Linked DNA regions of Danio rerio. The protein of the gene in region 1 interacts with the protein of each later gene in a biochemical or structural test. Links are inferred from orthologs where the notes say so. Each region holds a gene or a part of one and is shown in the gene's direction. Other genes may lie near its edges. The genes, in order: gnaq, rgs4 and ric8a.

Evidence for each region.
Region 2: the proteins of gnaq (region 1) and rgs4 form a complex in vitro, tested with the Homo sapiens proteins (3 studies listed by BioGRID). The link is inferred for Danio rerio from reciprocal best matches to the Homo sapiens genes GNAQ and RGS4.
Region 3: the proteins of gnaq (region 1) and ric8a form a complex in vitro, tested with the Homo sapiens proteins (2 studies listed by BioGRID). The link is inferred for Danio rerio from reciprocal best matches to the Homo sapiens genes GNAQ and RIC8A.

Annotation. Positions count from the first base shown.
Region 1 is NC_133180.1:60,900,311-60,904,719, reverse strand, and holds the end of gnaq (guanine nucleotide-binding protein G(q) subunit alpha), read left to right. Parts: intron 1-305; coding exon 306-459; intron 460-2,565; coding exon 2,566-2,756; 3' UTR 2,757-2,759; downstream 2,760-4,409.
Region 2 is NC_133181.1:37,875,148-37,880,807, forward strand, and holds the start of rgs4 (regulator of G-protein signaling 4), read left to right. Parts: upstream 1-1,726; 5' UTR 1,727-2,113; coding exon 2,114-2,232; intron 2,233-5,660. UniProt on the Homo sapiens protein: Inhibits signal transduction by increasing the GTPase activity of G protein alpha subunits thereby driving them into their inactive GDP-bound form. Activity on G(z)-alpha is inhibited by phosphorylation of the G-protein.
Region 3 is NC_133200.1:11,285,517-11,290,613, forward strand, and holds part of ric8a (chaperone Ric-8A), read left to right. Parts: intron 1-2,313; coding exon 2,314-2,517; intron 2,518-4,983; coding exon 4,984-5,097.

The DNA of each region.
Region 1 (4,409 bases):
GTTAAGCAACATGCATTTGTAACACCAGAAAAATTATACTTAAAAAAAAAATGCATTTGGTTTGTGGTGTGCAATGCTGCCTCGGTGTTCATGTGATCACATGACCAATTGAGAACAAAATATGTTTTCATTCTGAACCTTAAATGAGAATCTGTGCTCATTTTAGCAATGTTTGAAAGAAAGCACTTTATTTTTTTCTCTGAAATTGTCAAAAGCAGCGAACATTCAGTTAGTGTTGATTTCTGGACTAAAGCTGTATAAAAATAACCACTGAAATGGGCTTGTTATGTTATTTTCCCCTACAGAATCGAATGGAGGAAAGCAAAGCATTGTTTAGGACGATAATAACATACCCCTGGTTTCAGAATTCATCTGTTATTCTTTTTCTGAACAAGAAAGACCTTTTGGAAGAGAAAATAATGTTTTCACATCTTGTAGATTACTTTCCCGAATATGATGGTAAGTTTAAAAACACAGAGTTCCATCAGATTTTAGGACAAATTAAAAACTATGAAAATTGTGATACACTGATTACAGCTATTAGACTGATTTGCTAATGCTTAGCAAATGAATTGATTTACAGTGTTACATTTTATTAGTACTCCTGACTTGCATGACTTAAGCCATTTTCCCATTGGTAATATATATATAAGAGAAATGCTTTAAAATCCCATCCTCAAAATGAATCCTGTTTACCCAGATCAACAAAATACCCAACTATAATTTGCTGTTTAGACTAGTATTTGATGATTTCACTTTTTAAAATTCTAAAATAATCATTTTTAGACATTAAAAACAGCTTGTTATGCTACTTAATGTTGCAAACTTATATTTTCTTATTATATTATTCTACTTGGTCTGTATAGTCATGCAAAAGCTTGTTTGTAGAGCAAGTAGTTTGACCGCTGTCCGCTGTTTATTGTCCCTAGTCATTTCTCCCATAGGCGACTGAATCGGAAGTTCTAAAACAATCACAAAAATGAGCACACTTCCGCATTCAAGAATGAGGTCAATAATGGTATCAATTTCAAACGTTTTTGTTGTTATTGAACAGACAACATGCTTAAACTATTTTATGTTTTTAGCTCAAAACTGTCTTATAAATATACACTAATATATTCATCAGGGTATCCACGGGGTCTTAAAAAGTCTTAAAATGTTGAAAATCTCAAAAACTAAATTTAAGGCCCTTAAAAAATTTTACATTCACTGAAATTTTGTGTTGTAGGTCCTAAATCTTTTTCAACAGGTATTAATTTTTCTTTGATCATGTACGGCTACCCAATCTGACCATTAACACCTATACAATCAACCACATTTTATTTAAAAATATAATTTATATACTGCTGAGAATGCTGACCTATATATGTTATTATTAAACTATTATTATTGTGGACTGAAGTAATAGGCAGCTTTGTTTTGTTCTATTCTTGGTAAGGGTTATAGGGTTTGTGAATGGATATATTTGAAAATTTATTTTAAAATATTCAAACAAAGGCATCACAGTGGCGCAGTGGATGGCACAATCGCCTCACAGCAAGAAGGTCACTGGTTCAAGCCTCGGCTGGGTCAATTGGCATTTCAGTGTGGAGTTTGCATGTTCTCCCCATGTTAGCGTGGGTTTGCTCCAGTTTCCCCCACAAGTCCAAAGACATGTGCTATAGGTGAATTGGGTAAGCTAAATTGATCGTAGTGTATGAGTTTGTGTGTGAATGTTTCCCAGTGATGGGTTGCGGCTGGAAGGGCATTCGCTAAGTAAAACATATGCTGGATAATTTGGCAGTTCATTCAGCTGTGGCAACCTCATATTACAATAAAAGTAACAAGAAAATAAAATGAATGAATCAATATTCAAACAAAATTATTATTACTGTGTTATTAAATGTATTAAATTTCAAAAAATATTTTGGTAGGGCAACTGAAAATCTTTTCTGACAGGCATATTAAAAAAATCCTTATAATTTAGCTCTATGTAAGTTTAAAATTTTGTTCATAATAATCTTAAAATGTCTTAAATTTAGCTTGATGAAATCTGCAGAAACCCTGTTTATGTTTTGGAATAAGGGGTTATAGGCCCACAAGGAATCTGCATGCGTTAACTAGGCAGATTAGGGTAATTAAATTTTGTATGTCAATGGTTTGTCCTGCAGATAATCAAAGAAAAAAAAAAGCCTTAAGGGGCTAAACATTTATGACCTTATATGTTTATTAAAAAATTAAAAACTGCTTTTATTCTAGCTAAATAAAACAATCAAGACTTTCTCCTGAAGAAAAACTAGTATCAGACATATTGTGAAAATGTCCTTGCTCTGTTAAAAATCATTTGGCAAATATTTTAAAAATAAAATAAAAGGGAGGCTAATAATTCTGACTTCAACTGTATTTGATTGTAAAAAGTTATTTAGGTTTTGAGCACCAACTCTTAATCATTCTGCATTTGTTTTTTCAAAATAATGTGCAGAAAGAGCTAAAATGATCAGCAGATTCTATCTGGTCTGGTTATGAGAATTACATTTCAGTTTTAGGTTTGACCGCAGTTAACCAAAATGTATTTTCCTCTTTAAGGACCTCAGAGAGATGCTCAAACTGCACGGGAGTTCATCCTGAAGATGTTTGTCGACCTGAATCCAGACTCAGAGAAAATCATTTATTCTCATTTCACATGTGCCACTGACACGGAAAACATTCGATTTGTGTTTGCTGCTGTCAAAGACACAATCTTGCAGCTCACGCTTAAAGAATACAATCTGGTGTGAAAGAGGCTAGTTCTGGTTTTTGTCATCATCTTGCCTGGTTAAAGGCACTCATCGGTTAATGCAGAGAGCATTTAAAATCTGCTTTTATTGTTCGAGCTGTCTTTCCTCCCGGATTCTGCTCAATGAAACTGGACACACAAGTTATTTATATTTAAGAACTGTAACACAATCTGCTCTTGACTGCTGTTATTTATTTGCACCTCAGAGCTTCTCTTTGGGGTTCAGTTTAAATGTTGTTATATCACTTTAATGAAAACAAATATTGCGCATATTATCAAAGATTAAATAAGTAAGCTATAATTAGTTTTTTCTTTTATTTTAAGCGTTAAACTTCTTGCTATAAATGTTACGTAGAATCCTCTATTTTGGGTATATTAAAGATTCTGTGTGGTAAGATCATTAAAGAGCAATGAAAAGTACTTCATTGACTTTTAAAAGGAAAATATCATGTTACAGTTTCAGAGTAAGCTTAGTAGAGTAGGGTCTTTTTTACATTTCGCCAAACATGCTTTGGGGAATAATACTCATCAAGATTAAATAAGCATATACATTAAAAGTGCCAAAGTTCTTCTAATGTGGCAGTTTGTTTTATTGCCAAACTATAATAGCTATAAATGTGGTATAATTGCACCACATGCTAAAAACTACCATTGCCAATTACTTCTATACCATACTGCTGTTCATGATCTGATTCATTAAAAATTATCAATGTTCAACATCAAGCCTTAACGATGTGCCAATAGAGCCGATTCCTGTGCAGTCATTTTTATTTTAAACTACAAATGTGCCCTTTAGATATTTTCTGCAACAGTTGCTTTTTTTATATATAAATTACCCAACACATGTCTCAGTGAGCAAATGATGCTCTTTTTTTGTACTGACTTGACCCTGTGATTAGTATAGTGAATTCAAGCTTTGGTCAGTATGTGCAGTTGTTTTTAAAGATAGTAGGATTTGTAAAAAGAGTATCATGTGGTTTGATGTATGTCAAAGAAATGAATGTTTTGTGTTCAGTCAAGAGTAAAGGACCAAACCGATGTTGCCTCTTCTTGCTGCTTTTTTTGGCTTAAATTAAAGCTCTTAGTAATGAAGTTTATAAAGCAGGTAAAATAGGTATTGAACATTCAATGTTTTTTCCTGGTAAGCACAGCTCAAATCAGAAAAGGTTGGGATGTTATGGAAAATCAAGTAAACAACAACAACAAAAAAAAGTAATTTGCAAATTTACTTTGATTTGACTTGCAGACTATATGAACACAAAATATTTCATGTTTTGTCTAGTCAACTTCTTTTTCTTTGTTTTTTTTTTTTGTTTGTTTTTGTTTCTTTACAAAAAAAAGTTGGGTCAGGAGCAGTTTAGGGCTAGTAATCAGATAAATTAAATGATGTGATTAGAAACAAGTGATGTTAACAAGTGATTGTAATTTTGATTTGGTACAAATGCAGCATCTAAGAAAAGTCTAGTCCCTTAGGAGCAAAGATGGGCTGAGGATCGCCAGTTTGCCAACAAATACATGATAAAATGTTATCTATAATATATTTTAAAAATGTGTATTTTTAAATTTATTATATATAAAACAATGTTCCTCAAAGAAAAATAGGGCAACATGTTTATATTTCATTTTCAACTGTGCATAACATAATTAAAAGATT
Region 2 (5,660 bases), on another chromosome or scaffold:
TAAACCACTGCCAAATACTTTTCTTCTATATGCAACATGAGACACGTACAGTAGCTGCAGCACTTCTCTTATATAACTGGATCAAATTGTTTTTTTTTTTTGCATGGTTGGAGAGTAAAATGACCAATAAGATAACAGCAGAAAAATTAACCACTATTATTATATTTTCTCAGTTGATAGATTAAAAATTGCATGTTTTGAATATATAAAAAGATTGTAAAATGTGATGTTCAAATATAAAAACTATTTAATTTATTTTATTCAATCATTGTTTTATTAAGTATACATACACTAATCTGCAGAGATTTATAGCATAAAAATCAGAATATTGGATAAAGCTCTTTAAATTTTTTGCTTTGTTAAAGTCAAATGTTACTTTGACTTGTATTTCACCGCAAACAATGAAAGAGCATCTTTTTTTTACAAATTTTCAAAAATAAACACATATTCCAATTTTGATTTTTGTGACATAAAAAAATGGAACAGTAAAGCATTTGCCAGTTTGTAATTTGCGCTTCAAAATGCACCACACATTATGTATTGAAGACAGGCCAGTCAAGTACCTGTATCCTCTTCTTCTGAAACCTAGACTTGGTAATGTGTGCAGAATGTAGTTTTGCATTGAAAAATGCATAGGCGTCCCTGAAAAAGAAGGCAGCATATTGTGCTCCAAAATCGCTATGTATTAACAGTGCTTCTGGACCCTGTTAACATTCCTTTTGACACAGTACAATTTTAAGAGGCCTTTGTGGATGTTCTGTGGTACTTATGACAAAAATTTGCCAAAGTAGTTCTGAGCCCATGTGGGGATATCACTTATATGAATGAGGATTCTTGATGCAGTGCTGCCTGTGGGATCATGCTTGTTCATCTTAGGCCTGTGGCCTTGTTCTTTGCGCACTAAAATGTCTCTAGATTCCTTGAATCTTTTAATTATGCTATGTACTGATGAAGGTGAAACATCAAAAAGTCTTCCTCTCTTTCTTTAAGAAACATTATTTTTAAACATTCCAATAATTTTCTCACGTATTTGTAGGCAAAAGGACTAGACCTTTCTTGGATGCAGTCAAATTGCTCCTGTCCAAACTTGTGTGTTGCATGTCTGAATGGCAGGAAATAATGCATATTTACTAATGAAATTAAGTTGACCAGACAAAACATGAAATATTTAGTAGTTTTGCATTTGCATAGTGTCTGTATTGAAATACAGGTCAAAGTAAATCTAGAAATCCATTCATTCATTCATTTTCTTGTCGGCTTAAGCCTGGTTTATACTTCTGCTTCAAGTGACCGGCGTAACTCACGGCGCAGGCAACGTGCGCAGCTGTGCATTTATACTTCTGCGCGCTGTCTCTGTTGGTCTGCATTAACACTTCCGGAACGCTAGTTGGCAGTGAGGTGTAAATGTTCCTCTGTGTCGAGTTTCTTCGCTTCTGTTTTGCTTTTCCTGAACACTTCCTGGTTGTACAAGTGACTCAAACTCGTTCATTTTGAGGCAGGAACCGGCGGACGTGCAACAACTTTAACTATGAGGTAAACACAAAACAAAACTTTCCATCCAGAGCTCCTTCTCGGGACTCCACACTTGTAAACAATCGCTCGCGCCATTCACGCGGTGCTCGGTCCCGCCCAGACTCTTCATCGCTACCAAGCCGACCAATCACAGAGCTTGCGCTACGCGTCGTTGCGACGTGTAGTTACCAAGCGGCAACCTCCCGCTCTCCCTGTACCAATACGGAAGTAACTAAAACTGCAATTCATGCGAAATTCCGCTAGTCCTGGCCGCTCCTGGCTCCAAAACAGAGCAAATTTCAATTGAGCCCACTGTTAGAATGGCCAACTTTACAGCAGAAAAAAAGGTGTTTACAGCCTGGTACAAAAAATGATTTTGGTTAATACAGGTAATATCACCCTTCATGACAACTGTTAGGGGGTGAATTTTTTTTATAACTCATCCGTTTCTTTTATATTAAGTTATATTAAGTTTGCATAATTAAGGGCGTGGCCACTTGATTGACAGCTAGGTCTCGCTGGTCGCCGTCACGTCACCTCAGCTGAATCCTGCAGATTAGCCACTGAACTCGGCATATTTATCGTATTTCTGTGTTGTTTTATGTGGCTTTACACAGTCAACTGCCTTTTGGACTTGTTTCCCACAATTATTAGATGGCATGGCATGCTGAGGGCACTTAATTGTGCTCACAAACCATTCACGTGGCCTCCGTTTCCCATGTGAGTAAAGTTATATACTTATATACCATCTCTGTACATGTATTTGTTTTATTTAAGATCATTTATCGTTTATATTTATATTTAGAGCTGTAATGCACTCCAGAATCTGTCAGATTGATTAGCTGTAGGCTCTAGAACAGTCATCTGAAGCGTTGTCATACAGTGTTATGCTGGATTTCATCAATAGTCTTACATTTACTAACACAGACTATATCTGAAGTGTTTGGAAGTAATTCGCGTTTTCCTCCTGTTGAAAAACGTCATAAGAACAATGTTTAGTGGCTCAATGTATTACAGCCGTGTTTTTAAAAGTCTAAACACTTTATTGATATAGTGTACAACCAAGCACAAGTGGTCAGAATACAAACGAGCAGGTGTCTGTAGCTCCGCTCACTCTCCGCCTCTTTGCCCTTGTTTGGTATCCCGCCGTGGGTGTGATGACGCGTGACCAAAATGGCGACGGTTGGCCGCGCCTACTTGTGGCTTCTTTTGCGCTCTTCAGAAACCTATGGGTGACGTCACGGATACTACGTCCATATATTTTACAGTCTATGGTAGTTACATTTTTTGAGAGGTGCACGTTAGTGACGCCGACGGCCACGGCGAAGGGCTATGCATCAGCGCTGTAGCATACGCCGGCGTTTGACGCAGAAGTATAAATCAGCCTTTAGTCCCTTTATTAATCCGGGGTCGCCACAGCGGAATGAACCGCCAACTTATCCAGCACATTTTTACGCAGCGGATGCCCTTCCAGCCGCAACCCGTCTCTGGGAAACACACACACACACACATACACACACACACACACACACACACACACACACACACACACACTACGGACAATTTAGCCTACCCAATTCACCTGTACTGCATGTCTTTGGACTGTGGGGGAAACTGGAGCACCCGAAGGAAACCCACGCGAATGCAGGGAGAACATGCAAACTCCACACAGAAATGCCAACTGACCCAGCAGAGGCTTGAACCTGTGACCCAGCAACCTGCTTGCTGTGAGGCGACAGCACTACCTACTGCTCCCTTGCGTTGCCAATTTAAAAATCACTACTTTCTTTTTACTTGCATTTTCCATACTGTCCCAACTATTTCTGATTTTGGGTTTTATATATATATATACAGTTGAAGTAAGTACAGTTGAAACTGCTTTTATTCTAGCCGAAATAAAACAAATAAGACTTTCTCCAGAAGAAAAAAATATTATCAGACATACTGTGAAAATGTCCTTGCTCTGTTGAACGTCATTTGGGAAATATTTAAAAAAAGCAAAGAAATTCAAAGGGGGCTAATAATTCTGACTTTAACTATATATATAATTACAATATTTATTGTAATTAATATAGGCAGCAAAGAAAAAAACACTTACAGTAAATGTGAAAAAGCATTTTATACAAGTAAAAATTGTTTGTATTAAAAAACAAATCTAAAATATGGGCCTTCTCAATTTGGAGCAGCTTTGAACTTGGCATTATACAAATGTATAGTCAAAAAATTACTCTGTATATTCTATGCATTATGTAAATAAGCACATGCATGTTTAGATTCGTGAAAACACACACACACACAAACACACACACACACACACACACACACACACACACTCACACACACATACACACACACGCACACATACACACACACGTGCACACACACACACACACAAGCACAAACACACACTCAAGCTTATTATTTGTATCTCGCATAGAATTTTCAGGAAGACACCAGCTATAATAACAGACACATATAACAAAGTAGAAAAGAGGTCATTCTGGTCCCAATATCATTCACTATCTGATGCATTTGCTGCAATTTCAATTCACTCAGGCTAATAGCACAGACAAGCCATTCCCTGAAAAGACTGCAATACAATGAAACAGAAGGAAAGCGACTGTCAGGAGCCTGAAAGATGATGCACTAAATCACAGCACACAGCACATCTGATCACTGCAAACCAATAGAAGAACCCACACCTCTGTAACCTAGAAATGGACAGATCCATCTTGTTGTTGAAAAACAATTTACATTTGAAACAAAAGTTAATATTTACATAATATATTTGTGTGTGTGGTGAGTATTTTTAAACTTTATGAATACAAACATAAAAATCTAAAATATACAAACAAAAATTGTGACATATTATATTATTACATGCACACTACATGGTATTCAATAACATATTTTATTTACAAATATACCATACCATACCATACTACTATGGGGCGACACTGTGGCTCAGTGGTGAGCACTGTCACCTCACAGCAAGCAGGTCACTGGATCGAGTCCCGACTGGGTCAGTTGGCATTTCTGTGTGGAGTTTGCATGCTCACCCCGTATTGACATGGGTTTCATCTGGGTGCTACGGTTTCCCCCAGAGTTCAAAGACATGCGCTATAGGTGAGTTGGCTGTAGTGTATGTGTGTGAGTGTGTATGGATGTTTCCCAGTACTGGGTTGCGGCTGGAAGGGCATCCATTGCCCAATACAAATGCTGAATAGGTTGTTGGTTCATTCTGTTTCGGCGACCCCTGATGAATAAAGGGACTAAGCCAAAAGAAAATTAATAAACAAATAATACTATGCACCACGACTTTTTATTATTTAAGTTTATGCAATTTCTTTCATACACAAATCTAAAAATGCATATTGGTGACGTTTTTATAGCTATTATATCAAAGATAATAACAGACTATTGTTACTTCAAATGTATACCTAAGCTGCACTCTGATTCTGTGGTTCTTATGTGAACTAATACATATTTGAAATGAATTTTAATTTGTTTCCTGATGTATAATATTATCTCCAAATATTTTCATTTTTTTTATTTTATAAATATTATATACATATTTGTTGGCATTTAGACTTAAAAAAAACATGCTTTCACTATTTCAGTGTTCTAAAATTACAGTTGACGCTTCAAATTTAAATATGATTTGACAAATATGAACAGAATGACTGTAATGGCCATTCTAGTAGTTCTATACTGTTAAATCAGATGTCGATTTATTCAGCGCAAAATCTTGATGAGGTAATTTGGTACTGAGAAGCTTCGCATCTTGATTTCATAACACCCAGGTTAAAGTCCACTCAGTCAATGGACCTAATCAGCAACAATCCATGATGAAGACTGGATCTGTCATAACCTCATTCGTTCTCAGCACTGTGCTGGATTCAGCTGAATTGAAATGTATTGTGTACTGAAGTAAGAGCATTGAAGATATTCTGATGTAAGAGAAAAGTCCTTTCACTCTTTCATTACACCAGTAACGCATGGTTTCAAGCACACACACAGAAACACACACACATAAACAATCCAGGTCTGTGATGAAAGAAGCAATGGGTCTCAAAACACCATCTGGCCAAATATCCACCTCTCTTAGTGCTGCCTGGCACGTAGCACCGCGTTTATTTATGTTAGCG
Region 3 (5,097 bases), on another chromosome or scaffold:
ATTTATTGCATTGATCCTTTTTTATTAATTCAAATGTAAATATAATTTTGGCCATTGTAAGTTATGGGCCACAAAACAAACAAACAATATGTATGTGTATATATATATATATATAGATATACAATTTTATTATATAAATATTTATTTATTTATTATTATTATTATTTTTTTTTTTTTTTCAATTTTACATATTGGTCAAATAGTTTTTTTATATATCCAAAGATTTTGTAACACCATTTAATGGATTATTATATATAATTATTATTATTGTTGTTGTATAACACTATACTTGTTTAAATGTTTATTAGATAGCTGAAATTCATTGTTCATAAGTAATTATTTACAACTAATATGTATTTAATAGCATTTTTAGAAAAGTAGTTTAATGGATTTTTGTCTATGACATTTTCTTCAGGCTTCAGTTTGAAAGCTGCGTAGGCAAGTTTCCATTCATTTGTACTAAAATTGTACAATATTTTGTAAATGTTAATTAAAAAGTACTAGTGCCATTTTCATTAACCAAGTGTTATGCGACTAAAACCCGTTTCTATCAATAAGTTTTTCTTAATCACCAAAATTTTATTGTATTAATCTTTTTTATGATTATCTATTTTTTATAAAATAAAATAATAGTTTTTTAAGTTTTATTTAATATTTACAATGCTTATCCAATTATTAAAACAAAAGCAAGTCTCGTATAATATATTTACTAAAAGACAGAAAATATTACTTTACAAACCGTATTGTAAATAAATCAAATGAACATTTTCATATTAGTCAATAATATTTCTAAAATTTATTTAAAAACTAAATAAATATAAATTTAAACACATTTACACAATAAAATAAATACTCAATAATGTGCTAATAATAAACAGACTCAATGATGGGTTAACAATAAATAGACTCAATGATGGGTTAATAATAAATAGACTCAATGATGGGCTTATAATAAATAGACTTAATGATGGGCTAATAATAAATAGACTCAATAGACTCAATGATGGGCTTAAAATAAACAGACTCAATGATGGGTTAACAATAAATAGACTCAATGATGGGCTAATAATAAATAGACTCAATTGTGGGCTAATAATAAATAGACTCAATAATGGGCTAATAATAAATAGACTCAATTGTGGAATAATGATAAATAGACTTAATAATGGGCTTATAATAAATAGACTCAATGGTGGGATAATGATAAATAGACCCCGTAATGGGCTAATAATAAATAGACTCAATAATGGGATAATAAAAAATAGACTCATTAATGGGTTAATAATAAATACACTCAATAATCAGCTAATAATAAAGAGATTCAATAATGGGCTAATAATAAATAGACTCAATAATGGGCTAATAATAAATACACTCAATAATGGGCTAATAATAAATAGACTCAATGATGGGCTAATAATAAATAGACTTAATGATGGGCTAATAATAAATAGACTCAGTGATGGGCTAATAATAAATAGACTTAATAATGGGCTAATTATAAATAGACTCAATAATGATCTAATAATAAATAGACTCAATGATGGGCTAATAATAAAAAGACTTAATGATGGGCTAATAATAAATAGACTCAATGATGGGCTAATAATAAATAGACTCAATGATGGGCTAATAATAAATAGACTCAATGATGGGCTAATAATAAATAGACTCAATGATGGACTAATAGTAAATAGACTTAATGATGGGCTAATAATAAATAGACTCAATGATGGGCTAATAATAAATAGACTCAATGATGGGCTAATAATAAATAGATCAATGATGGGCTAATAATAAATACACTCAATAATAGGCTAATAATAAATAGACTCAATAATGTGCTTATAATAAATAGATTCAATAATGGGCTAATAATAAATAGACTCAATAATGGGCTAATAATAAATAGACTCAATAATGGGCTTATAATAAATAGATTCAATAATGGGCTAATAATAAATAGACTTAATAATGGGCTAATAATAAATAGACTCAGTAATGGGCTAATAATAAATAGACTTAATGATGGGCAAATAATAAATAGACTCAATAATGGGCTAATAATAAATAGACTCAATGATGGGCAAATAATAAATAGACTCAATGATGGGCTAAAAATCTGCGGATTTCTGTGCGCACAGATTTCATGTGGGCCTAGTCATCCTTAAGTAGTAAAAGTTTGCTGAACATATATGCCGCTAAGCAATTTTCATAAGGTGCATTGAAACAAAAGCAGTGGAGAAATGCAGGCATGTAAACCAATAGTAGATGGTTTCCACCATATTACTCTCTTGTTTTCTCATTTCTCAGCGTCTGGGTGAGTTAGTGTTAAGCTTTTTGGAGAGAGACCTCCAGCCATCCTGCCAGCTGGCCTGCCTAGAGACCATCCGCATCCTGTCCCGGGACAAGAAGAGCCTGTCTCCGTTCGCCACCCGCCATGCTATGCAGATCCTGATTCGACATGCAGGGCTTGGGCAGGGAGAGGGCGTCACCCCAGAGATCCCAGATTTAGAGGTAAGGGTATGCTATAATGTCGATATTTGATCATGAATGATTAAAATGCCGCTATGACTTTATCAGAAAATATTGTTATATTGCGCAACAGTGCATTTTCAATCAGTTGCATATGACTTTCACCATAATTAAATCATTCATTGCTTCTGATTTACTTTTATTTGTCATAAAAGATTGGTACAATTTTTTGTTAAAGTCTGTGTGAAATCAAAATGGGCATGTTTATTTTGCTAGCGCACATTGTTATTCTTTAAGTGAATAATTGATCCGTGCAGGTTAATCAACTAAAAAATGTATTGGTGATCTTCAATCAAAGTATGAGCATTATCTTTTGCATTTGGAGTGGCGGTCCATCTGTGATGATGTAAGTTTGATGTCTTCAGGCACAATATTCTTTTTTTTATTTAATTTTTTTATTGATTGAACAGGGGAGTACAGAATTATACATAAATCAGTATGCAATGGAATTAACAACAAAAAATTATCATGTACGTTTAGTATTTTTTCCAGCAGCTTGGATGTCTTAATAGCTTTGGTATTACTCTGTATATAAGTAAGGGAATCATACTTTTTTTTTTTTTTTTCCCTCTCTTTTGCCGGTGAGATAAATTTCGCAAGCACAGACTCTAGTTTGACTGCGGCTTAAGTAAGTCTCAAGTCTTAACCAGGGATGGAGCTAGGGGGGTAGCCATGGCAACCATCAACATAATCATGGCCACTCCATTGGCCACCCCACTCGTAATAACCCAAACACCACCCCCACCCGCTTATCTTTCATTCGTGAGATGAATTTGGCAAGCACAAACTAGTGTGGCTGCGGCTTAAGTAAGTCTCGAGTCTTAACCAGGGATGGAGCTAGGGGGGTAGCCATGGCCACCATCAACATAATCATGGCCACTCCATTGGCCACCCCACTCGTAATAACCCAAACACCACCCCCACCTGCTTATCTTTTATTTGTGAGATGAATTTCGCAAACACAAACTCTAGTGTGGCCGCGGCTTAAGTGAGTCTCAAGTCTTAACCAGGGACAGAACTAGGGGGGTAGCTACAGACACAATCAACATAATCATGGCCATCACATTGCCCACCCCACTTATAATAACCCAAACACCACCCCCACTCGCTTATCTTTCATTCGTGAGATGAATTTGGCAAGCACAAACTAGTGTGGCTGCGGCTTAAGTAAGTCTCGAGTCTTAACCAGGGATGGAGCTAGAGGGGTAGCCATGACCATCATCAACATAATCATAACCACCACATTGGCCACCCCACTCATAATAACCCAAACACCACCCCCACCCGCTTATCTTTTATTCGTGAGATGAATTTCGCAAGCACAGACTCTAGTGTTACTGCGGCTTAAGTAAGTCTCAAGTCTTAACCAGGGATGAAGCTAGGGGTGTAGCCATGATCATCATCAACATAATCATGGCCACCCCAATCGTATTAACCCAAACACCACCCCGCCTGCTTATCTTTTATTTGTGAGATGAATTTCGCAAACACAAACTCTAGTGTGGCTGCGGCTTAAGTAAGTCCTAAGTCTCAACCAGGGACGGAGCTAGGGGGGTAGCCCTAACCACCATCAACATAATCATGGCCACCCCACTTGTAATAACCCAAACACCACCCCCTACCGCTTATCTTTTGCCGGTGAGATAAATTTCGCAAGCACAGACTCTAGTGTGACTGTGGCTTATCTAAGTCTCAAGTCTTAACCGGGGACGGCGCTAGGGGGGTAGCCATGGCCACGATCAACATAATCATGGCCACCCCATTGGCCCCCAATAACCTAGCCCCACCCCCGCTTATCTTTCGTCCGCGAGAAGAACTCAAACACTGAGTTCACCTCAATTGGATCGTAGCTCGGATTCAACTGTGCGATTCCTTCGTGAGGGGTGAGTAAAATTTCAAGCAATCCCATTACCGATCAGGAGGGTTTAATTGCCTCTCAGTTCTCCCTGTACACTGCAAAAACCAACAAAGGCTCATTCTGAAAACGTAGCCCTATATACATTTCTGGAGAACGTGAGTTATGTTGCCAGAAGTATGTAGGTGGACTTTAGATGCAGAGAGGAGAGGACTGATTGGTTGGATTTAAGGAAGGAGGGTGGGTTAGTTGATTGGTCAGTCAGTCAGTCAGTCGACAGCGGCCTCTGGTGGATTTACGAGAGAAGAGCAGGCGCAAATGACACTCAGGAGTGAAATTTGAGATCTCAAAAAGCGTACAAAGCAGCCTCTCATGAATTTGCAAAAACAAAAACCGCCAAAAATTTACCTCCTATTACCCCCTATTTGACGGTCCACAGAAATGTATATAGCGGTACGATAAACAACGAAGCTGAAATTCGGCTCAATTAAAAGAAGAGTCACGTGATTAAAAGCAAACCCAACACCTGCAAAAATAAATATAAAAAAATACATTTGTAATATGATATTTTTTCTTCCAAATGGCCCACTTAGGTGATCGTGGAGGCTCTGAAGTGCTTATGCAACATCGTGTTTAACAGCGAAGCAGCGCAGGAGGCCGCAGCTGACCTGCAGTTGATGGTGGGTTTAGCAGAGCGGCTGAAACAG